Linked DNA regions of Arabidopsis thaliana. The protein of the gene in region 1 binds, or shares a complex with, the protein of each later gene. Each region holds a gene or a part of one and is shown in the gene's direction. Other genes may lie near its edges.

Region 1 (7,556 bases):
GGAGGTAGCGGGATAATTGAATGAACAAAAGCAAAAGCATTGTAACTGCTGTTTCTGCTTTAGATCCTACAATTTTGTTTCCCTTTGAGCAAAAACAGTATTTTTTGTTTGACCCCAAACATGGTTAGTAGTACAAGCATCTCTTATTCACGACAAGTGTTTCATAACATTGGTTATGATAAGCTGCTCAATAGTGTTGAGCTCTGAGAATGAAGACGAAGTACAAGAATCAGATGAACTGTCCTGGGCAATCTCCCCATTAGCCGCAACGATGGTGCGGGAATAACAGCTGAATTCATCGATATAGCTAAGACTCTGTTTTGTGCTCGCTTCACCAGCCAAGACATTGTGATCTTCAACCTCCATCCAACCCTCTGAGTCTTGTCTGCTATAAACTTGGATCAAAGCCTCTCCATCTGAATGTGTCTCATTCAAGGCGTGTGAAACATTCGTCACGAGCATATACGTATCCTTGTCGTTGGTTAACCCTCTAAGAGTAGAAGTGATCACTGTAAGAGGATATGTCCGCTGGTGCACGACTCGATTCACCGGTTTACCCGATTCAGAAGTCACCTCCACGATCCGTTCGGTCTTCACTCTCTGCTCAACCCTCTTGTATGTTCCGTTTTTCTCGAACCTCACCAAGCTGTCAACCTTGAACATGCTCTTGACCATGGTGGTCAGATTACCTTTACTTGATCTAACCCAGCCATCATATTCACTACTTACCTCTGCTTCAACCTTAAACGACCCATCAAGCTGTTCAAGCTGTTCTTGTCTCATCATATGCCGACTCGGGCTATCATAAAGTCTAGACCCAGCTTCAACATTCGAAGACCCGTGATCTAACCAGAGGTGCAAATTAGCGTCCACAAGCCAGTATGATATCCCATCGTTGACCCCAAACGCAAACTCATGAGACTTTCCATCTAAAAGCAACCCGAGAAATGGCGTCAAGTCCATGTCATAGGAAGGTAGATTGAAGGCACCGATTGCTACAACTGGTTCCCAGAACAAGGGATTGATTCCACCAGTAAAGATCACCGGAAATGGCACCTCGGATCCCACGTATCTCCCATCTATCTTAACAAAAACTTCCCGGTATGCACCATTGCCACGCCCGGTTGTTAGATTGTTCGTTCTGATATAAGAATTTGGCGGGTTTGAATACCAGAACTCATCGTTTCCATGGAACGATACATATAGTTCCAGCACAATCTGACGAGTGTTGGACGGAATTTGAATTCCTTTTGAGTAAGTTTCTCTGGGGTTCTCGATCATGAACCAGAACCCTCTGTTCCCTCCGTCACATACCGGAATTATCAAATCCGCAGGGGTTTGATCTCTTTTCTGGGAATCCACAAACCCTAATCTGTTACTAATCTTCAAATTTGACGCAATAGGATTGAATTCGTAGAAGATGAGGGTGACATTGATATGATAGATGCCTGTGTAAACATCGTTGACTATGTTCTCAAGCATCATTGTGACATTTAAATCGGATCTCATAAAGAGCGAGGAATACCTAGAGACGTCTTTCCGAACATTCCAGAAGATTCCGGATGGACTCGGCTCCGCCGTACTGGTGCGAAGTAGCTCCACTCCGCCGAGCCACAAGCCGGAGATACGATCGTACTGATCGCCACTCGAGGCGGCGCGTAGGTCAAGTACAACATAAGACCACGGCGGCGATATGCAGCTGGAAGGGGGAGTGTATGGAGTGGTAAAAGGAGGTCTGTTGATGGTGTTGGCGAATGAATGGCGGAAGAGGACATGCGAGCATGACGGCGTTAGCTGATCGGACGGTAGGGGCCGCCTGAGCTCCTCGTACTCCTGAGGCTCGACCGGTGACCGGAGACAAGTCGAAGCCGATCTAAGGAATCGATCCGGCGAGGAAGGACGAGAAACGGCGGTAGCAGTGAGAAAAGCAAGTGTGAAGAAGAACTTAACGGCGCCGTTTTGATTTTCTGGCATGATAGCTTCTGTGTTTTTGATTATCCGAGCTCGCCGATGCGAACTTCAATGGAGACTGGAGAGAGAGAAGGGACGTAATTAAACACCAAAGCGTTTTTATATTTCGGAGAATCAACTACGTGTCGTTTGACATCCTAAATTGGCAGATAGTAGAAAGGAAATGTTGAGACTGGAGAGTTTGATAGTAACAGTGTGGGGACCAGCGACGGTAACGGAATTCGAAATTTATTTTAGCGTCACGTGTGGTTACTTATAATCTGTGCACGTGTCAAAATAAGAGAGGGCTACTAGTGACACTTTCGTCACTGTCACTTAATTTTAGCCTTTCTCCTGACATGCTTACTCTCTCCTCTCCCGCTACGATCACTGCGAGTTTTCCCTTCTTAAGCTCTCATGGCGGCTTCATAAATCTATATACAGACAAATTTACACATAAAGAAACGCATTAAAAAAACTATTTACTCAGATTCAGCTTCTTCTCCACGCAAAGACTCGCTTCTCTTTTTTTCTCTTCCTGAGTTTGGATTTTTTTTGCTTGAGCTGAATCATGTTTTATTCTCACCAGCTTCTAGCTCGAAAAGCTCCGTTGGGTCAGATATGGTGAGTCAAATTCTATCAGTGAAACGTTTTCCGATTATCACGATGATTTTGCAACCTCTGTTTCTGTATCTGTTTTTGAAATCGGCTGGGAACTTCCTTGTCGCGATCAAGCACTTGTCACTGCTTCAAATCGTCACTGCGATTTCCATTGATTGATCTGTATATGGATTATTAGTGAATGCATAGAGTAAAATCTCTAAACTCTGTTTTTGATTTTTCTTCTTCTTAAGGATGGCCGCTACATTGCACGCGAAGATCAACCGGAAGAAACTAGATAAGCTCGATATCATTCAAATCTGGTGAGAGGAGATGAGATAGTGTTCGCCCTTTTTTTGGGTTTTACTCTGCTTCGATTTTTTTGGTGTTCCTGCCATGAAAACGAACGTTGATTTTTCCATTTTTGTTGGTTACTTTACTCTTACAGCGAAGAGATTTTGAATCCGTCGGTTCCGATGGCTCTTAGACTCTCCGGGATTCTTATGGGTATGCTTTTGCTCATCGGATTTTTTTTTTCCTCAGTTCTTCACATTCTGGGTTCTTCAATGTTTTGTTTATTCGATAGGTGGTGTTGTGATTGTTTATGAGAGGAAAGTGAAGCTCCTATTCGGTAATTTTCTGATTCAAATCATTTTTGAATTTTGGGATTTAAGTTTACACTCTCCTCTTTTTCTGATGAGACTCTGCTCTTTTTCTGGGTTTTATTTTCCGTCAATATTTCAGATGATGTTAATCGCTTTCTGGTAATCAAATCTTCTCCGATCCTCTTCTATTTTTTGTTTCCCCGTCAAAATCATATTCACGTACCTCGATTTCTGGATTTTCACATGTGTTTATTTTTCTCAGGTTGAAATTAATGGAGCTTGGCGCACAAAATCTGTTCCGGATCCCACTTTACTACCTAAAGGAAAAACCCATGCCAGGTAATGTCACATCTTCTTCCTTGAAGGAGCTTCTCATGCCATTGAAGGATTCTGAAGGATCAAATCGTAAACATAAGAACATTGTCGTGAAGAATAATAGAAATGATTGGCGTGTTGGATTTTTTTGTTTGCAGGAAAGAGGCTGTTACATTGCCTGAGAACGAAGAAGCTGATTTTGGAGATTTTGAACAGACTCGTAATGTTCCTAAATTTGGCAATTACATGGATTTTCAGCAGACTTTTATTTCCATGGTAATCAACTCAATTCCCTGTGAATTCTAGATTGAATTGGGTATTTATTTTCTTTCTACGTCTCAATATTCATCAATTCGTAGAATTGTGGCTTGAACTCTCCAACCTAAAACAGTGTATAAGATATAGAAAAATCAGTAGCCATCATTCTTCATTGCCCATAAAAGTGGAGTAAATAAGTTGGCGCATAAAGGGCACCTAAGACTTGGTCTAACTCAAGCATGTGGTTTATGAGTAGCCTCATTTTAGTCTACAGGTGAATATTTCAAAGGAAAATCTTTTTGGAACTTGAAGCATATGAACTCAAACCAAAATCATTTGAACATCGCTTAAGATTTTGACGTGTAACCTATGGGCTGTGGAAATGGACAATGCACAAAAGATGCAACTGTTAATGTGAATTGATCATAGTAGTGTTCATCTCCTTGTATACCAATGATTACTCGTGTGCATCTTCAGTTGATCTAATTCATTGCGTGGTTTTATCTCTTTGCAGCGGTTAGATGAATCCCATGTTAACAATAACCCCGAGCCAGAAGATCTTGGACAGCAGTTCCATCAAGGTGAGTATCTTGAGACAAAACCTTTGTGAGTATACGACATGTTAATAACTTACATTTATCCGCTTGTCAATTTCTGTAACATTCTCAGCTGATGCCGAGAATATCACACTCTTTGAGTATCATGGTTCATTCCAGACCAACAATGAAACATATGATCGTTTTGAAAGGTGAGCTTTCAATCCCACTATCTATCTTCAGTCTTTAATTCCCAGATTTTAAACCTTCTCGAATAACTGTTGAAGGTAGAAGTTGTAGCGTTTCACTATTTCTGTATTTTCTTTCATCCACCTTTCAGCAAAAAGCTGGTGATGATTTGTTCTATTCTATTCTGCTTTTTAATGGCATCTCAGATTTGACATCGAAGGAGATGATGAAACACAGATGAACTCCAATCCAAGAGAAGGCGCTGAAATACCTACAACTCTCATCCCATCACCACCTCGTCATCATGACATTCCCGAAGGTAGATAGTTATGTCACTCTTCCCTTCTATAATCGTGACATCTGGTTATTGTATGGGGATATGAATTTTTGAGTCAAAGATGAAATTGTTTTCAATTTTTAAATAGTGTTAAGTTTATGAAGCCAATAACAATGACTTGGGCGAGTCTCTTGTATAATAATCATGTATGTGACCTGGGAATGTATTTTTGTTGAAGCTTCTGAATGATATGAACACTGAGCTTCGTGAACAGAGCAGAACAAATTTACTAATCTTTAGCCATCTGCAGGAGTCAACCCCACAAGCCCTCAGCGCCAGGAGCAACAGGAGAATCGTAGGGACGGATTTGCTGAGCAGATGGAGGAACAAAACATACCGGACAAAGAGGTATTTTCACTTACTAGGAATACCCTCATCTAGTAGAAAATACATTGAATTGGGTTTTGTTCTGCATGCAGGAACACGATAGACCACAACCAGCGAAAAAGAGAGCAAGAAAGACAGCTACTTCAGCGATGGATTATGAGCAAACTATTATCGCTGGTCATGTTTACCAGTCATGGCTCCAGGATACTTCTGACATTCTCTGTAGGGGGGAAAAGAGAAAGGTTCAAATTTTTGAACTCATTGGCCTTTATTGTATTAACTGGTGCTCATGTTGGCCTTACATCTGACATCTTTTTGTAGGTTCGAGGAACTATCCGGCCAGACATGGAAAGTTTCAAACGTGCGAATATGCCACCTACACAACTCTTTGAAAAGGACAGTTCTTACCCGCCTCAGCTTTACCAGCTTTGGTCAAAGAATACTCAAGTTCTTCAAACCTCATCATCTGGTCTCTCTCTATCCATAACTGTTGGTTTTTTGTTTTCTCCTTGTTGAAACGAATCTGACATTTGGAAATGTCGATACAGAATCTCGACATCCTGATCTCCGTGCGGAACAATCTCCAGGGTTTGTTCAGGAGAGAATGCATAACCACCATCAAACAGACCATGTAAGTCGCGGAAGCATATTCTTTCCTGAAAGTTTAGTATCAATAAGAGAAAGGCACATTTCATATTCTCTCTAACAGAATGTGGATTTATGCAGCATGAGCGCAGTGACACAAGCTCCCAAAATCTTGATAGTCCCGCAGAAATACTCCGGACAGTTCGTACTGGGAAAGGTGCTTCAGTAGAAAGCATGATGGCTGGATCTCGAGCAAGCCCTGAAACTATTAACCGCCAGGCTGCTGATATTAATGTCACGCCATTCTATTCTGGTTAAAAGCTTCTCTATTTTATCCAGTCTTCAGATCATAGCTTGGTATTGTGGAATATTTAGCGTAAGTTATTTGATTTTCATGGGAATTACAGGAGATGATGTGAGATCCATGCCTAGTACACCATCCGCACGTGGAGCAGCTTCAATTAACAACATAGAGATCAGCTCTAAAAGGTTAAGAACACATCTAAGTTTCTCTGATACTAAAACCAATAGTAACTTACAAACAAGTTTTCCATTGGAAGACGATCACTAAATCTTCTTCTGCTTACCAAATCAGTCGCATGCCCAATAGAAAAAGACCAAATTCCTCACCAAGAAGAGGACTCGAACCAGTGGCGGAAGAGAGACCGTGGGAGCACCGTGAATATGAGTTTGAGTTTTCAATGTTACCTGAAAAACGCTTCACAGCCGATAAAGGTAGAAGTTTTTAATTGTCTTTTGATCCTATACAACTTTCAAAAACACCATCTTACAAACCTTAACGTGGCTTCTTTTTCACAGAAATACTATTTGAAACTGCATCTACACAGACTCAAAAGCCAGTGTGCAATCAATCAGACGAGATGATAACAGATAGCATCAAAAGGTAAGAGATTCAAAATTATCTGCCAAATCTATATACTGAGTAACAATGATGAGATCTATAAACGAAACACAGTCACCTGAAGACACACTTTGAAACACCTGGAGCTCCTCAAGTGGAATCTCTTAACAAGCTCGCTGTTGGAATGGACAGAAACGCTGCAGCTAAACTCTTCTTCCAATCCTGTGGTACTAACTTCTACTTCAACTTAATTTCACTTTCTTTGAGCATAAAAAAACCTGACTATGATTATTGTTTATATGTCCAGTGTTAGCTACTCGCGGAGTCATCAAGGTAAACCAAGCAGAGCCTTATGGGGACATTCTCATTGCAAGAGGACCCAACATGTAAGGTTTGATTTCTAAATTATAAAAGATTCTGGTGAACCGATTATCCATAGTTGTTTTGCTTTTCATATTCTAGCAGAGAGAGTTCGTAGACTTTTTTAAGTTATAAAGAGCAAGCGTTCTTTACCCAAATTCCTCTGTTTGGTCCTTTTGTTATATGGTTATTAGTACCTCATACATCATCACATCCTAGCTTTGTCCGAAAACATCTGAAACTAATTTTTACATTATTCTATAATTTAAGTATTTTACTCGCATATATTGAGTCTTCTTAGAAGATGTATTGAACAGAGCATAAACAAAACAATAGTTTAATATATACTCCGTTGACAAAGAAAATGGTGGCAGTCACGTAATAAGCCGCAACTGCCCCCATTTCATACAATACATGTATAATCTTCATAATTAGTCGCTCACACGTTTCATACAATTTGTCAAATTTCTCAAAAAATTAAACTAATTACACAATCAAATACCAGCCTCTATATGTTTCTATATATACGCATATTTCTTACCCCTGAATCACACATCAAGAAGAAGAAGAAGTTTAAGAAGCAGAGTGTATAACAAGTAACATGGACTCAAGAGCCTTACCCTTCTCCGTTC
Region 2 (7,656 bases), 3.7 Mb from region 1:
GACTTGTGATATCTTAACTGATGAGCGTTTCCTGTTATTGAGCCATTTTTTCCTCCTACTATGTTTATTTAGGTCAGTGGCCATTGCGGATGCATGGATCAAAAGGGAACATATAGTCATGTCAATATTATCTATTTCTGATTATTCCTAGTTGATTTTGAGCATATTAAAATCAAAAGAAATGACCATTTTAGTTGTTGAAGTTGGAGATTGTTCCTAGTGGATTCTAAATTTTATCACATTTCCTCTCTTTTGTTGACGTAGGTGGTACAGATGATTCTAAGGTCTCAATACCTGCAACGGTTGTTCTGCGCTACATGTTCAGTCCAGCTGAGTTGATGGTAGGTCTTGTCCAATAGTTAATATGAGAAATGTTGCTATTTTTAAGAGTAGCTGATATAGCTTTGAGCATTTACTCTGTTTGCAGGCTGATGAGGATCTGGTTGCTGAGTTAGAGGAAGACGTGAAAGAGGAGAGTTTGAAGCATGGACCGTTCGACTCAGTGAAGGTAATAATATGATTTCTTTTTATCTTAAGCTGGTGGTCTTGCTTGCTGCATATAGCTTTGTGGAAAACTTGAGATTATTTTGGAGTACCAATCGAATCTCTTCTTTACAGGTATGTGAGCATCATCCACAGGGTGTTGTTCTTGTAAGATTCAAGGATCGGAGAGATGCACAGAAATGTATAGAAGCAATGAACGGTCGATGGTACAAACTCTCCTGAGTCATCATTTCCGCCTAATTGCCATTAGAGTCGGTATTGAGTCTGATGCTTACATGTACTTCTTTCTGTTTCTGGATGAATGCAGGTATGCAAAGAGACAGATACATGCGAGCCTCGATGATGGATCAGTGAACCATGCTACAGTTAGGGATTTTGATTTGGAAGCGGAACGGTTAGATCAGTTTGCAGCTGAACTGGAAGCTGCTGAGTAAAAAACAAAAGCACAATGATCTAAAGCTGGGAAGATTTGGATTATTATTCTGGGAAACTCAGGTTTCTGATGTAAATCACTAGGCACAGACACATCTGAATCAGACCAACGCAAACCCAGAGGACCGGTTTTATCTAGTACTAGTAGTATTACCTGTAGTGAAATTAACGAATAAGACTGCACTTGCAAGTGTATTTTGATATTCGTTGACTAAAAACCTTTACTACTATGTAATACGATTTTCTTCTAGAAATTTGAAAAATCGGAATTTAAAAGTTATGCTTCACTATATTTTTTCCTTATTTGTTAAATCATGATACTTAGCAGTTTTTGTGTGACACCATCACATGAATTTTTGTTTCTATCAATCATTTGTTTAAAATACTTTGTATTGTAGTTTGGACCTAAATTTCATACTTTTACAGCAGAATGTTGTCAGATGATCTCTAATAACAGAATCTTTATTTTTCTGTTTTTCTTATTAAAAAGTTTCGATTTTTTTCAGATTTCCCGCAATGAGGCAAAAGAAGCCGCCGAGTTGAAATATTTTGAAAAAAATGGAAAAACCCAAAATATTTTCAAGTAATAATTAAATGAAGTTAAATACTGTTGGGGCTAGTTGACGAAAACAAAAATTGTTGAAAAATGATCTAAATCTAAAGCTATGCGGGACCCGCTAATCTCTTAACCAATGAGAGAACGACGTATGTCACGGAACATGTGTTTCTTTGCCGCACCAAATCCCTCATTTAATCAAAAATCAACCAAAGATCCAAATTTCGAAACTTTTTAGTTTTTTTTGCATATCGCAATTTCCACAAATTTTACTGTTTTCCTTGGCTGTTGTTGTGTCTGAATCTCCAAGAAGAAAGAGTTGTGTCTTTAAGATTCTGCTTTTACCCAAATTGGGTGTTCTTTTTCCAAGTTTCTGAGAATTAGGGTTTCCGCGAGGACTCTGTTCAAATCGAGCTGTTTTGGACTTGTTTGAGCTTGGTCAATTCTACGGTAATTGATCTACCCTTTGCTCTCTATTCTACTTACCGAAGTAGTCTAGTGTCTCTGCTCAGTGGCAATTGCGAGACTTTGTTGTCGGTTTGAGCTATTTCGATTCTGTTGTCGAAATTTGGAAACTTTTTTTGATTCTCTATAGACGTATCTTTGGGGCTGAAGAAAGGGATTTTGTTATCTGAATAGTTTTTGAAGCTCAATTTTGTTACGGTGAAATTCTAACAAGTTGGTTCCTTTTTGTTGAATTTTTTTAGGGTTTTTTGGTATAGAGGACGAGGAATGTTTTATTCGCAGTTTATATTAGCTAAGAAAGGGCCACTTGGGACAATATGGATTGCTGCCCATTTGGAGAGGAAGCTTCGAAAGAATCAGGTCGCTGATACTGATATTGGAGTCTCCGTTGGTGAGTATTTTGCTACCTTTTGCTTTTGTGTACAATACCTCTGATTCAGGTCTCAGTTCGTTGTGCTCACTAGGGTTAGCAGAAGCTAAAGTTTCCTTCTTTTTCAGTTGTTATGTGGCTAAACAAGTTCATCTAAAATATTTCCTAATATAACTAATTTCTTTTTCTGAGCAGATTCTATTCTCTTTCCGGAAGCTCCGATTGCATTGCGATTGTCTAGTCATCTTCTGCTTGGTGTTGTGCGTATATATTCGAGAAAGGTGAATTACCTCTTTGATGATTGCAGTGAGGCATTGCTTAAGGTAAAGCAAGCTTTTCGCTCTGCTGCTGTTGACCTACCCCCTGAAGAATCTACAGCGCCGTATCACTCTATTACGTTGCCAGAGACATTTGATCTTGATGACTTTGAGCTTCCAGACAATGAGATCTTTCAGGGGTTGGTTTCTTTATGTTTTAACATTCAAACTCGTATTCCACTCTTACTCCAATTTGCATAATTTGTTTATTTGTTGCTCCTTGTTTTCCTGTCTAGCAGTAATTACGTTGATCATCATGTTAGTACAAAAGAGCAGATCACCCTTCAGGATACCATGGATGGCGTTGTATACTCAACGTCACAATTTGGATTAGATGGTCAGTGGTTGTTTCATATTTGCTTGTCTTTAGTTTGTAGATAGCTATGCCGTAGATAAGCAAAGTCATTTTAAAACTTTTGCAGAGCGATTTGGTGATGGCGACACTTCTCAAGCTGCTTTGGATCTTGATGAGGTATTTTTGTGTTTATAATAGATATTTTCTACTTTGTTCAAGTCATTTTGGAACAAGAAATAGGATAACCATATAGAAAGCTGAATATGAAGAGGTTATCTGTAGATTTCATTTGCTTTTAGATTTTGGGTTCTTTCTCTCCTCTGTTTGGGTAGACGCAGCAGCTGGAAGCTCTGATTGGTATCCAGTTGCGGAGTCCTAGACCGTGAAAAGCTTGTAATTTGAAGTGTTAGGTTGCAGTCATGTTGTAGCGTCAGGATAATGTTGATGTTTTCTTTTTCTAGTGAAGCTTTGCATATTTGCAATCAGAACTTCTCTCTTATTATTTTGGATGTGATCTTTTATCATTCCTCTCTTGTTGTGCAGGCAGTATTCCAGGACAAGGATGTTATTGGATCCGACGATGAGGGAGTTCCAGGGTCAGTTTTTGTTCATTATCTTTGGCTATATTCTTTGTAGCATAATTGCTTTTATGCTTCCCTATGGTTCCTCTCAAATTAACTATCGAAGTGTCAGCTTGATCTTCTTTTCTGGAGCTGTTCAGTACCTTTTCTATATTTTCATACCGCTACTTCAGATTGTTATCATAGATTTTAAATGCTCACATTAGGGAAGATCTCGAGTTGACTGAATGATAAAAAGCTTTGCGTTTTGGCGCTTGAATGTGTGTGTTTCAAGCTTTGTAACCATGCTTTTTAAGTTCCATGACATTCATACCTTGAGTTTGTGTTTGTTCTGTAATTGGATTGTGAATTAGAACTGCAATTCTGTGAGTCTTATCCTTCTTGGATGTGGACCTTTGGTGCATAATTTGGACGTGCAAATTATCAATCAAAAGTTTTACTTATGTAAGATATTCTATTTGTTGATAGTATTGATCACAACGCGTATCTGGATGCGGCAGCACCCGGGATAAAGGATTCGATGGAAGGAGTCTCTGAAGCCATGCCCATGGATTTTAATGAAGAGCAGGTGCGTACCATACATAATGCACGAGGGCATACCTATAGTTGCTTAATAATTGTCACCTGAGTCACAGTGCTTAATGTGATATATTTTACTTTGCATTATGTCTGAATGTACATTGCAGTTACAGACTCCAAATTTACAATTTGTTTACACAGATTTATTGGCTTACTTTTCTGGTAAGACTATTGGATAGTATTGTGAATCTCTCTTTTTGATAGGTTGAAGATCTTGCTATGAATAATGAGTTCATCGAAGATGCTCAAGCTCCTCAAACTCCTGGATTAGTTGAGGTGCCAAACTCGTCTAGTGTGAGAGAGCAGATGGCATGCGATGATCACATGGACGTAGAGGATCTGAATGCAGAAGAAGGTATAAAGTCCTCTGGGGAGCTGAATGCTAATGAGATGCCTAAACGTGGGGAAGACCTGTCTTCTGAATATAATGCCCCAGAATCAGCAGTTACTCCTGTGGAGGTAGATAAGTCACAGATAGATGAAAATGTCAACACACAAAATGAGCCGGAGGAGGAGAGGGCAGAGCATGTACATGTTACATCTCCATGTTGTTCTCACATCACCACCGAGATGGAGGATCCTGGTCAAGTAATGAATGAGGCAGGAGCTAATGTTGTACCTGATAAACCCGATGCTGTTCCTCCACTTGAAACCCCTGGAGAAGAGAACCGAGGTTTGTTGGCAAAGAAAATTGCAAACCTTATACGACATCTTAGTGCCTGCCTTATGCTTATAATTTTTATTGTTGCCAGATCATTTTGCCATTGCCACTGAGGTCAATCAGGAAACAGATTCTAGTTTACAAGGAGATGAGCAAGCGTACAGTAGACCAGATGGGCAGCTGAATAATGCACACGAAACTGATGAACAGTTGGGAAATTTGACTGGATTTACCGATTCTGATTTCCCTCCACCTGAGAAGGTATTAGCTGTACCTAACAGACAGGGGGATGGAAATGATTTCATGGTTGAATCTACACCAGATAAAGAAGACCCTGGCACATGTAATGATGATGCGGGGAATAATAACATTACTGGGAAAAAACGCACTTTTACTGAGAGCACACTAACTGCAGAAAGTTTGAACTCTGTGGAGTCAGTTGGACTGATTCAGTCAAAGAGAACTGCAGATTCTGTCCCTGATGACGATGATTTGTTGTCTTCTATCTTAGGTATCAGTTTATTTTGGATACTCTGTCTGTTCTTTTATACATTCTATTGCTCTTTGAGCTAGCTTTATGGATCAATTATCGTTGAATTTTTTTTTTTTTTCAGTTGGAAAGTCATCCTTTCTGAAGATGAGGCCTACCCCTGTGCTTGAACCAGCAACTACAAAACGGTTACGATCTGCTCCCCGCTCTACTGCCACAAAGAGGAAGGTTCTAATGGATGACCCTATGGTCTTGCATGGCGAGTATGTTTGTCTTACTGTTTTCTTATATCTGATTTTCTTATACCTTAGTTTTTTTGTTCCACTGCTCCAAGTGGACCTTTCATAGAAGTTCTTGTTTTAGCTACTTAGGTTCAAGACAGCTAGAGTCAGAAGTAAATTAATGTGAATCTTGAATTCGTTTGACTACTGATTTTTTCTTTACTGTAATTGGAGTTTGGTCTTCTTTTAAGTTTCACACCTTTAATTACCTAGGAGCGATATTTTTTTACCTTATCTCAATTTGTATTTGTTTTCTTCTGATGTTGCCTACTTTTCTGTTTAGCATTATACGTCAACAACTGACAAACACTGAAGATATACGGCGCGTGCGAAAGAAGGCACCTTGCACCGTTCCTGAAATCGTAATGCTTCAAAGGCAGGCTTTGGAGGATGGACTCTTTAAGGAGCCAATATTTACTGGTAAGTTCATGACACTAAAATGTAGACCGTTCTATACACGTTCTGTTGATTGTTCTTATAATCTGCAGTTATATAGCTAATATGTTTCACTGATTTTCAGGTATGTCAGTGGAATTAGTATCTCTGCACACTGAGCCGTATGATCTAAGAGGAATCATGATAATTGAGAATGATGACCGTCATGCTTCTGTTGGAGCGGTGGAAGATAATGAATGTTCTGTTACGGCCGTGGAAGAAAATAAAACGGAAGAAAGCTCTGATCCGCAAGCTCACCCAAATGATTGTGAGGAGCAACCTGGTACGGCTCATACTCACCCGCAGGAGGAACAAACCATAAACCAACAGGAAGAGCTGAAAGATGATAATGAGCTTGCTGAAAAATCTGACTTGGAGGTTTTGAAGGAAGGCAATGGAGCTGCTGATGAAGTAAATCTTGTAGTGATTGACGATGTCAGTCAAATACCGTCTGAGGAAAAACTCGACCGTGTAGAGGATTTACAGGTTGAAGAATCCCATGAAAACCATGATGGAGAAGGCGGGCAGGATGTTTGTGCGGATCCTAATGAAAAAAGTTGCACTGACGTTATTGAAATTGCTGAAGGCGATACAGATATCAACCCCATTTTCAATGAGATGGACTTGAAAGTTGAAGATGAACTTCCACATGAAGATGAGAAAACGGATGCATCAGCTGAAGTTAGCGAGCTTGGGAGAGACGATCAGACTCCATGCGATAACACAGTTGGGTCTACTGAAACTGGATGCCTAGAAGCTGGTGATTTGAGTAACATGGCTTTGGAAAATTGCAATGAACCTCTGGTGGAAGCGAATAGTGATGGGTTGAATCCAGAGACAGAGTCTTATAACAAATACGAACCGCATAATGAGATGTCTAATGAGGAGGCGTCTATGCAAAATGCATTAGATGGAGAGCATACTTCTCGTGATGGTCTTATGGGAGACAATGATGTAAGTTTCTTTGTTGCGTCATATCCTTATTCAAGTAAGACATGTCCCTGACTCTCTTGTTATCTTATGGTGTAGGAAATGGATACCATGGAAAATGCACATGACACAGGTTCTAAGCCTTTTCGAATTTCAATTCTTTTCTTTTCCAAATGGTCTGTATCCTCTTCATTTGATCAATGGGACTGATACTCTGGTCATCATATCCTGGTTCAAAACTGGACTCAACAAGCTTAAACTTGGAGCATAATTTGGATACGAGATGCTGCTAGTGCTATTCCCGATGATTTCTCAATGGTTCTTCTTATTAATTTCTTGCATTCGTGTCTTCAGGATTTTTGAACGTCGATGATGATGAAGTAGATGAAGATCATGAGGAGGATGACATACAATATGATGATGAAACTCGTCTTCTAGAAAACAGTGGATGGTCTTCTCGTACTAGGTCTGTACAGTTTATGACTTGCTCAGATTTTAGCTTCTATCATGTGAGAGACGTGATGTGATGGGCTTGAATTATGAAAGCTTCTGATTCTCTTTACTTTTAGGGCTGTGGCAAAGTATCTCCAGACGTTATTTGATAAAGAAACCGAGAATGGGAAGAATGTTCTTGTGGCAGACAAACTTTTAGCTGGGAAAACCCGTAAAGAAGCATCGAGAATGTTTTTCGAAACCCTGGTATGTCCATAACACAACCCTAAACTAAAAAAAAAACTCTGATCTTGAATCTGTCTTATTG
Region 3 (5,715 bases), on another chromosome or scaffold:
TCTCCAAAATGATGACGTTACAATCATCTCCATTACGACGTTTTACTCTTTTTTCAGTAACTTTTTCTGTAGTTTGTTTGGCATCACATAGCAATGAACATTTTATGAAATCTGTGGTGTCTGCTTTCTTCTCAAAGCACAACTATCCAAAACTCCAAACTGTTGGGGCCATATATATTACTAACCAAGTTGATAGCAAAAAAAAATACAAATCCAACTCATAATTTAGTCTTGAAGTTATAAGAAAGAAACTCAACGGAAGTCTGAATCATAGTCATTCAAAAGACAGCAGAAAGGGAAAAAACAAAATCATCTAAGACAAGGGTATATAAAACCATGATAGATCCTGATTTCATAAGATCTTCAAAGGTCTTGCACACTCAAACCTGAAATAAACAATTGGCAAATTCAACTTAGATAGAGATAGACGCATGCGTTCATGGACCAACCAAAAATAACTTGTGACCTAAACATGCCAATTAAAAGTGTCTGAATTAAAGTAGATTAACCACAAGACTATTCGAATTCAAAAACCAAAATCCAACAATATTATGACACTAGAACTTTCAAGTGATGAATTACTCAAAGCTAGGAACATCTATCCAATCTAACAAATGTTATGAGATAAGAGGTTTCAAGTGTGTAATGTTTGGGCTGAGTCACAGAGAGAGAGAGAGAGAGATAGTGAACCTGGAGGAAGAGACTGCTTCAACTTATCGGCCTTCTCTTGGTCGAAGACACATAGTGTGTAGAGGTACCTTGAGCACCTGACCTTGAACTTCACAATGTCCTTGCTTCTCTTGATCTTCACAGACCTTGCATCCTTCCTTCTCGCCGTCAAAAGGAAGTCCTTGATCTCATGGATTTGCTTCGGCTGCAGATTATCCAAACCAACATCCATTTTCAATCAATACAAAACAAAACAGAACACACAACAAGACTTCGACCCAAATGTTACTGCATGATGAACACTTCATACATTTCAAGATGAAACTTAAACCAATGGGTCAATTACGAGGAAGACTCTAATCTACTAGATTATCAGTAACCAAACAAGAAACCCACAATAAGAGATTGATTACTTTCAGCTCAATCATGCAAACTTTACTAAAATCCTAGTCGTGAGAACAGATAATCAAACAAATAATATTTAGCTTCAATAATCCTCCTGAGAATAATAAAACTGAGAGGCGAAGAAAACTTTACCATTGTCGGATCTGATTTAGTGGCTGCAACTTTCTTCCACTCAAGAGAACAAACAGCAAAAGCAAGAACCCAGCGTCTGAAAGAAATAGAGAAACCTAAATATGAAGAAAACCCTAGACTCTCATATACGCGAATTTCCAAATGTACCCCTTAGGCCCATTAATCCGAAAAGTTGGCCATTGGGTTTAGTGGCCCAAGTTGTTTTGTTTGGCAAATTTCAAAAAACTCGGATCCAATAAGAAAAGGGTATTTAAGTCATTGCGTCTATTTGCCTATGATTTCAACATTAGCGCCACAAAATGTTTTTTCCCGCTCCACTAAAAAAACACTTCTTCCTCTCTCCAAAAGCACACAAAACCCTACCGCTTCGTCTCTCTCTCTTTCGCTCTGCAGTTTCCTATTCAAAATTGATTGGTTTCTCTAAATAATGTAACACCTTCGATTCGATAATCCTTCTCTCTCAAATCAACTTCAGTATCTCCATCTCTGCTTCTTTAGGGCTCCTTGTTCGAAGGAATTAAAATGTTTTATTCACATACGCTTTTGGCTCGAAAGGGTCCATTGGGGACGGTGTGGTGCGCCGCTCATGTGCACCAACGCCTCAAGAAGTCTCAGTACACCTCCATCAACATCCCCGACACTGTTGGTTCGTCTTTCCTATCTTCAATTTTCGCTTTTTGATCCAAAGTTCGCTTCTTTTTTTTTTGAATCCCCTTTGATTGTATCCAATTCGAAATTTCAAAAAGGCAATACGAATTTTTACATGGGCATTCATCAAATTCCGATTTTGTTTTTTATATATAACCCATTGTAGTAATTGAAATTCTCTGCTTTAATAAAGTTTCTGACTTTTCGAGAATTTTGCAATTGGCTTTGCAGATAATATAATGTTTCCTGAAGTACCATTGGCATTGAGAACGTCAAGTCACCTTCTAGTTGGGGTAGTGCGAATATATTCAAAGAAAGTGGATTATCTTTACAATGACTGGAATCTCCTTAATACTTGGGTAGCTAAGGCTTTCGTTTCTACTCAAGTTAACTTGCCTGAGGATGCCAGACAGGCCCCGCCTGAGTCTGTTACTTTGCCTCAAGCACTAAATCTGGACGAGTTCGACTTGGAAGATGACACTCTCGACATGTATTCTTCTTTCTTGCTTTTATTTGAGTTTTTATCTGTTCTAAAGCCTGACTCATCTTTAACATTCTTTTCTTGTGAATTCTAGGGAATTCGATAATCATACTCGGAGTGAGGAAGATATCACTCTCACAGGTACCTTTTGTCTGTGTTTTTTTTCCTTGGTTCTAGATGCAGCATACCATGATTTTGAGGTGTTTATGATGTTGATGCTTATTTTTCAGATCAAATTCCTACTGGCATTGATCCTTATGTTGCTGTAACATTCGACGAGGTGAGATTACTGCTTGCTTCTTATGACTTTGAAGTTGATTCTGACTTCTTGTTTCCCATGTCTCCGAGCACTTGTTATTGAATGAAAGTTTGTATGCCTTTCTTACAGGACATCATCTCAGAATCTATCCCGATGGATGTCGAGTGAGGCTCTTCATAGAGTTTTGATTTCCTTTACTACACCTTGCTCTTAATCTTCCTTATCTGTTTAGTTGATCTTCTTTAATAATGTTGTTACATATTTTTTTGCTTTGAGCAGCCAATCAACAGAACCTGTGAGTAGGCATACCGGAGAAATTGATGTTGAAACGGCTCATGAGACAGGACCAGACAATGAGCCAAGAGACTCCAATATTGCTTTCGATACTGGAACCTATAGTCCTCGTAACGTCACAGAGGAATTCACTGAAGTCCAGGATCCTAGACAAAGTAACTTGACAGAAGAGCGCATTCCCAATTCCGAGAGAAACGATGCCACTTCTCCTGGAACTGTTCCCGAGATTGAGAGAATGCGTGACGCTGCACATGATCTAAGCCCCACGTCCCATCCATCATTTGCTGCACAACAACAGGATGTCAGAGTTGAACGCACTGAGTCATTGGATGAAACTTTGAATGAGAAGGAACCCACTATCCCTAGTATTGATGAAGAAATGTTAAATTCTGGAAGGCATTCTGCGTTTGAGCTTCGCTCAGGATCTCCAGGTTCTGCTGCTGGTTCTGAGGAAGAACGTGCAGATTTTGGTGAGCTAGCAACATAGTCTGATAATTTGAAGCTTAACCACTACATTCTCTCTCTTATTATCTATTTAAAACACTTTTTTCTTTATGTTAAGTGCATCCATCACCTCAACTGGTGCTTCAGCCATCTCCTCCTCCCCAACCACAAAGAAGGGCAAGGAAGAGGAAGAACTTTGATGGTGTCACAGTATTAACCAACAAGTAATAACTTTTCCGTTGCTTCATGTGGCTTTGATTATTTCATTAGCTGTTCCGTACTGATCAAATAGTTTGAACAGGAACATAAGTGAAAGGCTTAAGGATCCTAGTGATACTCTACGTAAGAGAAAGAAGATGCCTTCATCCAAATTAAAGTTTTGGAGAATGAATAACCAGTCAAGGAAGGATCAAAATTTCAATGAGCCCTTGTTTACTGGTAACTTTCTTTGATTATTATTTTATTTTCGACAGTTTTGCCTTCTTTTTCCCTTTGTTTTTGAAGAAAGATTATTGCCTGTATGTGTCAACCTGCAGGCTTCTCAGATGATTTACGCAATGTCTTTGAAAAGGACTATGTAGCTTCAAAGCCACATCTTGCTGTTTCTGATGAAACTTTACCAGAACCTGCATCTGTATCTCCTACTCGAGAAGCTGAAGTAGAAATTAATCCGGTCTCTCCAATTCCAGATTCTACTAATCCAGACAGTACAGTTCAGCTATCTCCAGCGCAGCAAACTGAAGATGTCCTAGACTCTGCAGGTCCTCGACCCGCGCATGCAGAGTCTGTAGCAACAGAAGCACAATCTCCTCGGACATTTGATAACGATGACATGGGAATAGAACATTTAAGGGATGGTGGTTTCCCGGTGTACATGCCGTCACCACCTCCAAGATCTTCACCTTTTAGAACCGATGACTTCACCACTCAGTCTGGAAATTGGGAGACAGAATCTTATAGAACAGAGCCTTCAACTTCCACAGTTCCAGAGGACTTGCCTGGCCAAAGAAATTTGGGGCTTTCACCTGTTTCTGAAAGGACTGACGAGGTTTGTTCTCGCATGTTCGCGTGTTTTGTTTTTACCATTCTTGGTGCGTTGCTAACCTTGATAGCAATACCATTTGCATGTGCCATACAGGAACTTTATTTCCTGGAGGTAGGTGGCAATTCCCCAGTAGGAACACCAGCTAGTCAAGATTCTGCTGCTTTGACAGGGAGAGCAAGGTATATATATTCCTAAAACCATGTGGATTTCATTTAAGAGCCTACTGTTTCTCTACTAACCTGTAACATTCATTGAACATTGCAGAGCCTTGGCTCAGTATCTTAAACAACGTTCTTCAAGTAGTCCCACCACATCAAGCCATCCTTCTGGAGATCTAAGTTTGAGCGAGATCTTGGCAGGAAAGACACGGAAGCTAGCTGCTCGAATGTTCTTCGAGACACTGGTGAGTGATTCTCTGTACATATGTTTTTCTTTGTATCTCTGTAGTGCCTCGAGCTTAGACGAGTTGTTTTTGAATTTGCAGGTTTTGAAGTCTAGGGGACTTATAGATATGCAACAGGACCGACCATACGGAGATATCGCTTTGAAGTTGATGCCTGCCCTTTTTTCTAAGGTTCAAACGTGAATAAACAATGCTTAATAAACTTACTTATGTATATTATTAACATTGAAGCTAGACGAGGAAGTAGTCAATTCTTAATTTTTTGAGCCCTGGTTTTATTACATTGTGTACAAGTAAAGCTTCACCCTAAGAGATGGACAAACGTCTAAATTCCATCATTAGCCAATACTTCACTTGAGTTCAAATTTGACAATGTTGTAAAAAAACAAGTTTTTGAGATTCTCTATGATTCTGGAAATGAAAGACTAGCACGTGTTGTGATGGAGTGAATTATGGAGCTAGATGCTCTCAAGCCTCAACATGTGTAGATGCTCTCAAGCCTCAACATGTGTACCGATGGAATCAAAGATATCGATCACATAAATTAACGGAGTATACATAGATAACCTCATAAATGTTATAGCAAAACCTTCTTCAAAATCTAAAGACGACCTACCTATTCTACAATTGTTCTTCTTTTGTATATCTTAGCAGACTATGGAAATCTAGAAATAATATTATAAATTATAGGTGGAATCTATCGTACTCATCAGTCATCATTCTCTAAGGGGCATGACAGGACCATTGCATAAACTTGGTCTTTGGCTACAGTTCTCATCATGACTTGTAATCTCTTCTGGGATTTGGTTCTCCATCGCGGTTTGATTCTGTATCTCATGGTGTTTATGATTCTGAGACTGAATGTGGCTCTCAATCTTGATTACCTGATTCTAATAAAAGGTATGCAGTTCGATATGAGGATGGAATATTGCCAG
Region 4 (6,839 bases), about 15 Mb from region 1:
CAAAGACAATTACTTAGGGTTTAATTGGTTTTCCCTTTGTCACTCGCAAACGCTGTATTTGCGGGTGCTAGCGATTGTTAGCGATTGACATCAATCATAGAAACCGCTAGATACTGCTTTACACCGTTCAAAATCGCCAGATTTCAAAAGCTCATTCCCGCAAGCATTTGCGGTTGCGGGCGGTAGCAGTTAGGTTATTTTTTTTTTTTAATTAATTAAAATAATTATGTCTTCTACCCAAACCCTATATATCTTATTCTTATTAAAAAAAACCTAATCAATATTTAACGGAAGATTCCAAAGATCCCAAAATCAGATTTCTAAGTGATGTTCAAAAAGAAAATATTCTTAAGAATATTAACGACCAGTTTGGGAAAAATTTGAGTTGGAGATGTGTTAAAAATCGTTTGGATATCTTGAAGAAACTTTATCATATGTATAGAGGCAATCCGGAAAACCCGCGAGTTCAACGTTATTTATAGTTTATCACACTACTTGATGCAATTTTTGGTATGTACCAAATGCATAAAGTATTAAACTTTTTCTTACAAAATTTATTTATTTTAAATTTAATGTTTTATTTATGGTTTTAATTATTAAGCATGTTTAATTTTTCTAATATTATCAATTTATCATAATAATATATTGTATTTTTCTTTCTTTTAATAGTAATATATTATATTTATTTTGGTTTTTTATTTAATTACTATCACACTTGCTGGTTTACCGGTCATAAAACTCCCGAAAACGCACCCATTATCAAACGCTTAACCAGTCGTTTAAAAGGCTTGATAACGCTTAAAACCGCAACCGGCCGTTTCCGCAAACTTGCGCAACCGTAACCGCACCCGCTGTATTTAAACCAGTCAGGCCCTTATATAAGAATTGATCAAATTATTGGGCTTTTAAGAGTTAGGTCGAGAGACTTTTTATTGGGCATAATTTTATTCTATTCAGGCCCATTCGCAACGTAATGCCACGTCGGACCAATGGTCTATGAGATGTCGCTGTCACTTAAACGCCACGTAGACTTTTAACCGGACACGTGTTATACAAAATGACTGTGCGCAGTTATAAACGTTTAAACGCTCTTAACGATGCGTGAAGGAGTGAGACAGCTCACATTTCCATCAAACTAGTCGTTATCTTTTAGTGTGGTAGTATTATATTATTTATTTACTTCTTTTTCTGTAGAATTTAGAAAAGGTAAATATAAATATGAAGTCAATAATCAGCATTAGCATATTTCAATTCAATTGTTATCTTCGTTGATTAATTTTTAACAGCAATGTTTTTTTTTTTCCTATTCAAAAAATTAACTTGTATATATATATATATATTTTGTTTATCCAAAATTAATTAAATAAATTATAAATTATCTAATACTATCAGACTATCACTCCCTCCAAAATTATTTTTTCTATTCTTATGGAAAAATAGGAAATTGCACAATTAAAAAGGAGAAGGTTTTTTTTTTTTTTTTTTGATCAACAGAGAAGGAAGTATCAATTAAAAAAAAATGCATAATTAAGAAGGTGTGATTTTCTGGTCACCGTCTAATTAGGAAAATTTAAATTTATGACACCTAATTCAAAACATTTTCAATTTCCAAAACTACATAACTTGTCAATAGACTTTAAAAAGTTTAATTACTCTAAAACGACTTGAAAATAAACAGATTAAGCGTGACTTAACAAGAAAAAAAAAAACTAAAATTAAAATTAAAAGAAAAAAAGTTAATCGGTTTAGTAAGAAGCTTGTTCCGTACACCGCTTGACCGTTTCCTTCTCCTCAATTTCTTCTCTCCCTCGCTTCACTATTTTACGAAGTTGCTCGCTCTCTCTCTCTCTCTCGCTGCTCTCTTAAAAAAAACTAACCTTTGTCTAAAACCCAGAATCTGGTAAACCTTCACACTCAAAAATGTTTTACTCGCATTGTCTAGTATCGAGAAAAGGACCTTTAGGAGCTATTTGGGTCGCTGCCTATTTCTTCAAAAAGCTTAAGAAATCTCAAGTCAAAGCTACTCATATTCCTTCTTCCGTTGGTTTGTCTTTCTCCTCCTTCACATTCTTCTTCTTCTTCTCTCTGTTCTAGTTAGAGATTTTTCTCCGGCGATTGGAAAAGTGATTGTTTGAGTGAAACTTTGCAGCTTTAGTGGATTTTTTAGCTGGAATAGAATTTTAGGGTTTCGTTTGTATCCATTGGCAGCGTTAATTAGAGATCACTGTTGATTTTGTTGGGGTCTTTCAATGTTACTTGTTTATGTTCATCAGTTGTTTGACAAAATGCCTGAGTGAACCTCAGAGATTGAGTTCAGTGATTTATTTTAAGTCTGAATAGTATCGAATCCTTAGTAGTATCAATCTGCCTTTTCTCATATAAACTTAAATCTAAACATTTCATCTTACTCACTTAGTATCAGAAAGCTGCTGGTCAACGCTTAGTTTGCTTGATCTCTAAAGTACTTGTATCCTCGAGAAAGATGGACTTTTTTTCTACAACATTTGACATTTTCAGTATTTTTTACTTTAATGACGTTTCTGATGTGTAATTCTTCGGGGGTTTTTTTTTTGGATGCACAGATCAAATCTTGCAAAAAGAGTTAGATGCGTTGACATACAGAGTTTTGGCGTATCTTCTTCTTGGTGTTGTAAGGATATATTCCAAGAAGGTTGACTTTTTGTTCGATGATTGCAATAAAGCGTTGATCGGTGTAAAGGAGTTTGTGGCTAAGGAAAGGAACAGAGAAAAGACAGGTGTATCATTGCCTGCATCTATCGAGTGTTTTTCCATTGCTTTACCTGAGAGATTTGAACTAGATGCTTTTGATCTTGGGGTTCTGGAGGATTTTCATGGGTATGCTTGTTATTTCTATATAGAATGTATTTCGCAGAGATTCTTTCATAGTCTCAACTCTTTTGTTTCTTCTTTCTCAGGGGAAATGTTAAGCCGCATGAAGATATTACACTTAAAGGTATCTTATCACTAAAGTCGTTTAAAGGGAATCTCATCACTGTTCATTTACTAATACCACTGCACTGCGATAAAACAGATGGAAGTCAGGAAACAGAGCGCATGGACATGTATTCGATGGAAAGGGTATGGTTTCTCACCTTATAGATTACTGAGTGTGTAACTGTTAGGTTCTAAGCTACTACAGCGTATATTGACATTGTTTCTTCGTTCCATTCCTTTTAATTCTGGTAATTTCGTGAATCTATATATGTAATAAAGATAATGCTTTGTGGAGTTGCAGTTTGACATGGAAGAGGACCTTCTGTTTACGTTTCATGAGACTTTCTCTACCAATCATAATGAAAATAAACAGTGAGTCTGATATTTTTGGTTCCATACATGTAATCGGCAAACACAATCCTAATTTTCTGTTTGTTGTTGCAGTGAGAGTTTTGCTCATGATATGGAATTGGATGCAGAAAATGTCAGAGATACCACTGAAGAAGCATCCGTCAGAGTCGTTGAAGCGGAACCACTGGATTCTAATGAACCATCCAGAGATCATCAAAATGCATCTAGGCATAGAGAGGATCCAGAATCAGATGACATTCTTCTGGAACCGCAAATGTCCGAAGATATCCGAATAGCTCAAGAAGAAGATACAGTTAGAGAAACCATATGTACCATTGTGCAGAGACTAGTGGATTCTCATGAATCCTCAGGAGATAATCTACACAGAGATGGTCACACAGAGAATTTAGAATCGGAGAAAACCTCGAAGAAAACAAGTTGCGAAGAGATGCAGCATGACAGGTCCCTCCCATCTGAATGCGGAATACCTGAAGCAATTCATGGGATTGAGGATCAACCTTCTGGTGCCACAAGAATTAATGGGGAGAAGGAGATCCCTGAGATGAGTACTCTAGAAAAACCAGAACCAGTATCTGTGACTGGTTCCAGAGACTTGCAAGAAGGCGTAGAAAAATGTCGAGACCATAATGAAGCGGAAATGGCAGACTTTGAATTGTTTCATGGGTCTCATAAAGAGCAATCTGAAACTTCTGAAGTGAATCTCCATGGTTCCGAGAAAGGTTTTCTCTCTGACATGACTGTTTCTAAAGACCCTAGTAGCGAATTTAATGCAACAGATACTCCAGTTACTGTCACTCCCAAAACACCTTCCCGGTTGAAAATTTCTGAAGGTGCACACTTTATTGAAATATGAGCTTAATATACTTTTAGTTACGTTTTTAGCGTGTTAACCTATACTTTGAATTACAGGGGGAACAAGTCCACAGTTCTCGATCATCCCTACGCCGGCTGCGAAGGAGTCTTCTCGAGTTTCACGGAAAAGAAAATGTCTGATAGATGATGAAGTGATAATTCCGAACAAGTAAGAGAACTATTTGTAACCTGGATTAGATTCGTCTGCAGAGTTCCGTACAAGTATGTAATATTTGGTTCTTTTGTTATTGTAGAGTTATGAAGGAAATGATAGAGGACTCAAGTAAATTGCTTGCAAAACGGAGAAACGTACCTCATACTGACTGTCCTGAGAGGAGAACCAAACGTTTTGCCAATCCTTTTCGAAGTTTTTTGGAACCTTTGATTCAGTGTAAGTAAAACCTGGTAATCCGCTGTATATCGTATTGTATTGTTGTGTTTGCTGATTGTTGTAATCCCGCAGATGGTTCTTCGGACCTCCAGTCGCTTTTTTGTCAACCCATCAAGCTTAAAAACTGGGCAACCACAGGAACCCCTAAAGATACTAAAATCGCTAGACATAAGGAAAAGTCTTCTCTTGACACTGTCAGATCTCCTGGGGTTATTTTATCTTCAGATCAGACTGAGAATACTCAAGAAATTATGGAGACTCCTCAGGCTGCTGCTCTCGCTGGGCTGAAAGTGACAGCCGGAAATAGTAACGTGGTTTCGGTTGAGATGGGAGCAAGTTCTACAACTTCTGGAACTGCTCATCAAACAGAAAATGCCGCAGAGACACCTGTGAAGCCTTCAGTTATTGCTCCAGAAACACCCGTGAGGACATCAGAGCAAACAGTGATTGCTCCAGAAACACCAGTAGTCTCTGAGCAAGTAGAGATTGCACCTGAAACGCCGGTGAGGGAATCAATGTCGAAAAGATTTTTCAAGGACCCTGGGACCTGTTATAAAAAATCCAGACCTGCAAGTCCCTTCACTTCCTTTGAGGAGCACCCGTCTGTGTATTATGTGGAAAATAGAGATCTTGATACGATTTTAATGAACGATGAGGTACTGCTGTGTTGCATCCTTCTGATAGTAGTTAAAAAGGTTTTTATAGTTCTTTTAGCCTATCTTATTTAATTGCAAGACTGAGCATTTTTTTTTTTTGTTTCTGCTTCAGCAGGTGAATGCAGATGAAAGACAGGACTTACAACAAGGTAAAACGCATTCTGAATTTTTGTAGGTCTCATGAGTGCTCAGGCTTTTATTGATTTAGTAGACAAGAATCTATTAAGTTTCTGAAATTATATGTAGCTTTGAGTGAAAGTTTCAACCATCGAAATATACGCAACTTATTTGGAATCCAAATCTTATCAAATTGTTCTTGTTGCATGTCGATCATCGTGCTGCGTCCTTACCATGTATATTTTGATTTGCAGAGACATGGTCCTCAAGAACAAGGTAACAGACTCACACTTTCGGTATCAACAGCTTCGATTCGCTTACATTCAGATGATTATCCTGGTTTTCTGACGCTGGATTGTACAGGAATGTGGCGAAATTCTTGGAAAAGACGTTTTTGGAACAGAGGGAAAGAGAAGAAGAAGAGAAGGTGAGTTTGTTGCAACTGTGTAGAGGAAGAACTCAGAAGGAAAGCGCAAGACTCTTCTACGAGACTTTGGTATTTCTCAATTTTTTTACAAGCACATGTCTTCACCGTTTTATCTGTCTCCATGAAAGACTTAAGATGGAGAAACTCTCTGAATTTGATTTTGCAGGTGTTGAAGACCAAAGGATACGTGGAAGTGAAGCAAAATCATCCATATAGTGATGTTTTTCTCATGCGTGTTTCCAGACCACAAAAAGCTTGTTGAAAAATGGATATTTTCTTCACTTAAGATTTTCCTCAGATTTCTTCAGTTAGGTTTCAGATTAATGTTGTTAGCTTTTAGTATCTTCTAACAAAATAGCTATTTTTAGTTTTTCTTTTAAGTTAATTTTTAGTAAGAATAATTGACGATCTAAAGTATATGTGTCTTATCAAGTTTTTAAGTTTTTAAAGAGTCCTTAGCCATGCTATAGATTGTTTTAACGACTAGCAGAATTGTTAACATGTGATAACGGGTGCCAGAGTTTCGTTAAGGACTGATAACGCTACATCTATTTTGATCAACGAATTTATATATTTCAAACGTTTATAAATATTTAGTTCACTAGATTTTAACTCGCGGTATATTGCGGGATGATTTTTTTTTTTAAAGTAGTATATATCAAAATTTGCAAAATATATGTATTTATAAAATATTGATTCAAACATATTCATCATATAACACCATTTCAAAATCCAAAATATAATTTATTCTGTAATTTTTTTATCCGTCTCGTAATTTGTTTTTTAAAAATATTAATTTCTAAAATTTAATAATTATTTATTATATATAAAAGTATACAAGTTGTATTATTCTCTAAGTCATTTATATTTTATAGTTTAACTTTATATATAATAACATTATACCACATAACATTTTTGGTTTTATACAATTTTTTCTAAAAAAATAATTTTGATATGTCTAATATTGGTGGTCTTAAAAAATAATAAATTAAAAATTTAACCCGTATTAAAGCGGTAGATTAATGATATTTTAAGTTTTTATTAATATTGAATCAAAAATCTATCCCTT

The links.
Region 2: SYN1 (region 1) and SYN4 share a complex: the UniProt entries of both Arabidopsis thaliana proteins name them as parts of the cohesin complex.
Region 3: SYN1 (region 1) and SYN3 share a complex: the UniProt entries of both Arabidopsis thaliana proteins name them as parts of the cohesin complex.
Region 4: SYN1 (region 1) and SYN2 share a complex: the UniProt entries of both Arabidopsis thaliana proteins name them as parts of the cohesin complex.

Annotation. Positions count from the first base shown.
Region 1 is NC_003076.8:1,622,191-1,629,746, forward strand, and holds SYN1 (Rad21/Rec8-like family protein), read left to right. Parts: upstream 1-2,015; 5' UTR 2,016-2,134; coding exon 2,135-2,182; intron 2,183-2,372; exon of another isoform or gene 2,373-2,521; coding exon of another isoform or gene 2,522-2,539; coding exon 2,540-2,574; intron 2,575-2,804; coding exon 2,805-2,873; intron 2,874-2,998; coding exon 2,999-3,057; intron 3,058-3,136; coding exon 3,137-3,181; intron 3,182-3,294; coding exon 3,295-3,314; intron 3,315-3,417; coding exon 3,418-3,494; intron 3,495-3,628; coding exon 3,629-3,746; intron 3,747-4,242; coding exon 4,243-4,309; intron 4,310-4,397; coding exon 4,398-4,476; intron 4,477-4,659; coding exon 4,660-4,772; intron 4,773-5,040; coding exon 5,041-5,138; intron 5,139-5,209; coding exon 5,210-5,359; intron 5,360-5,438; coding exon 5,439-5,586; intron 5,587-5,665; coding exon 5,666-5,748; intron 5,749-5,843; coding exon 5,844-6,015; intron 6,016-6,109; coding exon 6,110-6,191; intron 6,192-6,297; coding exon 6,298-6,437; intron 6,438-6,521; and 7 more. Other genes in the region: EIF2 ALPHA (eukaryotic translation initiation factor 2 alpha subunit), read left to right, coding at 1-24; AT5G05480 (Peptide-N4-(N-acetyl-beta-glucosaminyl)asparagine amidase A protein), read right to left, coding at 148-1,974; MOP10 (Pollen Ole e 1 allergen and extensin family protein), read left to right, coding at 7,526-7,556. UniProt on the Arabidopsis thaliana protein: Involved in chromosome condensation, pairing and segregation during meiosis. Responsible for cohesion between replicated sister chromatids.
Region 2 is NC_003076.8:5,314,559-5,322,214, forward strand, and holds the start of SYN4 (sister chromatid cohesion 1 protein 4), read left to right. Parts: upstream 1-1,638; 5' UTR 1,639-1,942; intron 1,943-2,199; 5' UTR 2,200-2,224; coding exon 2,225-2,348; intron 2,349-2,522; coding exon 2,523-2,784; intron 2,785-2,883; coding exon 2,884-2,981; intron 2,982-3,066; coding exon 3,067-3,116; intron 3,117-3,482; coding exon 3,483-3,535; intron 3,536-3,988; coding exon 3,989-4,088; intron 4,089-4,303; coding exon 4,304-4,772; intron 4,773-4,851; coding exon 4,852-5,271; intron 5,272-5,374; coding exon 5,375-5,513; intron 5,514-5,814; coding exon 5,815-5,951; intron 5,952-6,051; coding exon 6,052-6,920; intron 6,921-6,995; coding exon 6,996-7,029; intron 7,030-7,250; coding exon 7,251-7,362; intron 7,363-7,465; coding exon 7,466-7,595; intron 7,596-7,656. Other genes in the region: ELF9 (RNA binding (RRM/RBD/RNP motifs) family protein), read left to right, coding at 265-341, 428-508, 619-710, 812-938. UniProt on the Arabidopsis thaliana protein: Involved in sister chromatid and centromere cohesion during mitosis.
Region 3 is NC_003074.8:21,995,534-22,001,248, forward strand, and holds SYN3 (Rad21/Rec8-like family protein), read left to right. Parts: upstream 1-1,518; 5' UTR 1,519-1,728; coding exon 1,729-1,852; intron 1,853-2,085; coding exon 2,086-2,344; intron 2,345-2,429; coding exon 2,430-2,476; intron 2,477-2,565; coding exon 2,566-2,615; intron 2,616-2,723; coding exon 2,724-2,758; intron 2,759-2,873; coding exon 2,874-3,358; intron 3,359-3,450; coding exon 3,451-3,556; intron 3,557-3,633; coding exon 3,634-3,770; intron 3,771-3,868; coding exon 3,869-4,380; intron 4,381-4,470; coding exon 4,471-4,556; intron 4,557-4,641; coding exon 4,642-4,780; intron 4,781-4,861; coding exon 4,862-4,963; 3' UTR 4,964-5,204; downstream 5,205-5,715. Other genes in the region: AT3G59540 (Ribosomal L38e protein family), read right to left, coding at 364-386, 691-874, 1,207-1,209; AT3G59570 (Ypt/Rab-GAP domain of gyp1p superfamily protein), read right to left, coding at 5,497-5,670. UniProt on the Arabidopsis thaliana protein: May be involved in sister chromatid cohesion during mitosis.
Region 4 is NC_003076.8:16,358,804-16,365,642, reverse strand, and holds SYN2 (Rad21/Rec8-like family protein), read left to right. Parts: upstream 1-1,764; 5' UTR 1,765-1,920; coding exon 1,921-2,044; intron 2,045-2,188; exon of another isoform or gene 2,189-2,582; coding exon 2,583-2,856; intron 2,857-2,936; coding exon 2,937-2,974; intron 2,975-3,052; coding exon 3,053-3,099; intron 3,100-3,256; coding exon 3,257-3,327; intron 3,328-3,399; coding exon 3,400-4,157; intron 4,158-4,236; coding exon 4,237-4,348; intron 4,349-4,433; coding exon 4,434-4,570; intron 4,571-4,642; coding exon 4,643-5,226; intron 5,227-5,338; coding exon 5,339-5,375; intron 5,376-5,597; coding exon 5,598-5,619; coding exon of another isoform or gene 5,620-5,623; exon of another isoform or gene 5,624-5,706; coding exon 5,707-5,839; intron 5,840-5,936; coding exon 5,937-6,032; 3' UTR 6,033-6,312; downstream 6,313-6,839. UniProt on the Arabidopsis thaliana protein: May be involved in sister chromatid cohesion during mitosis.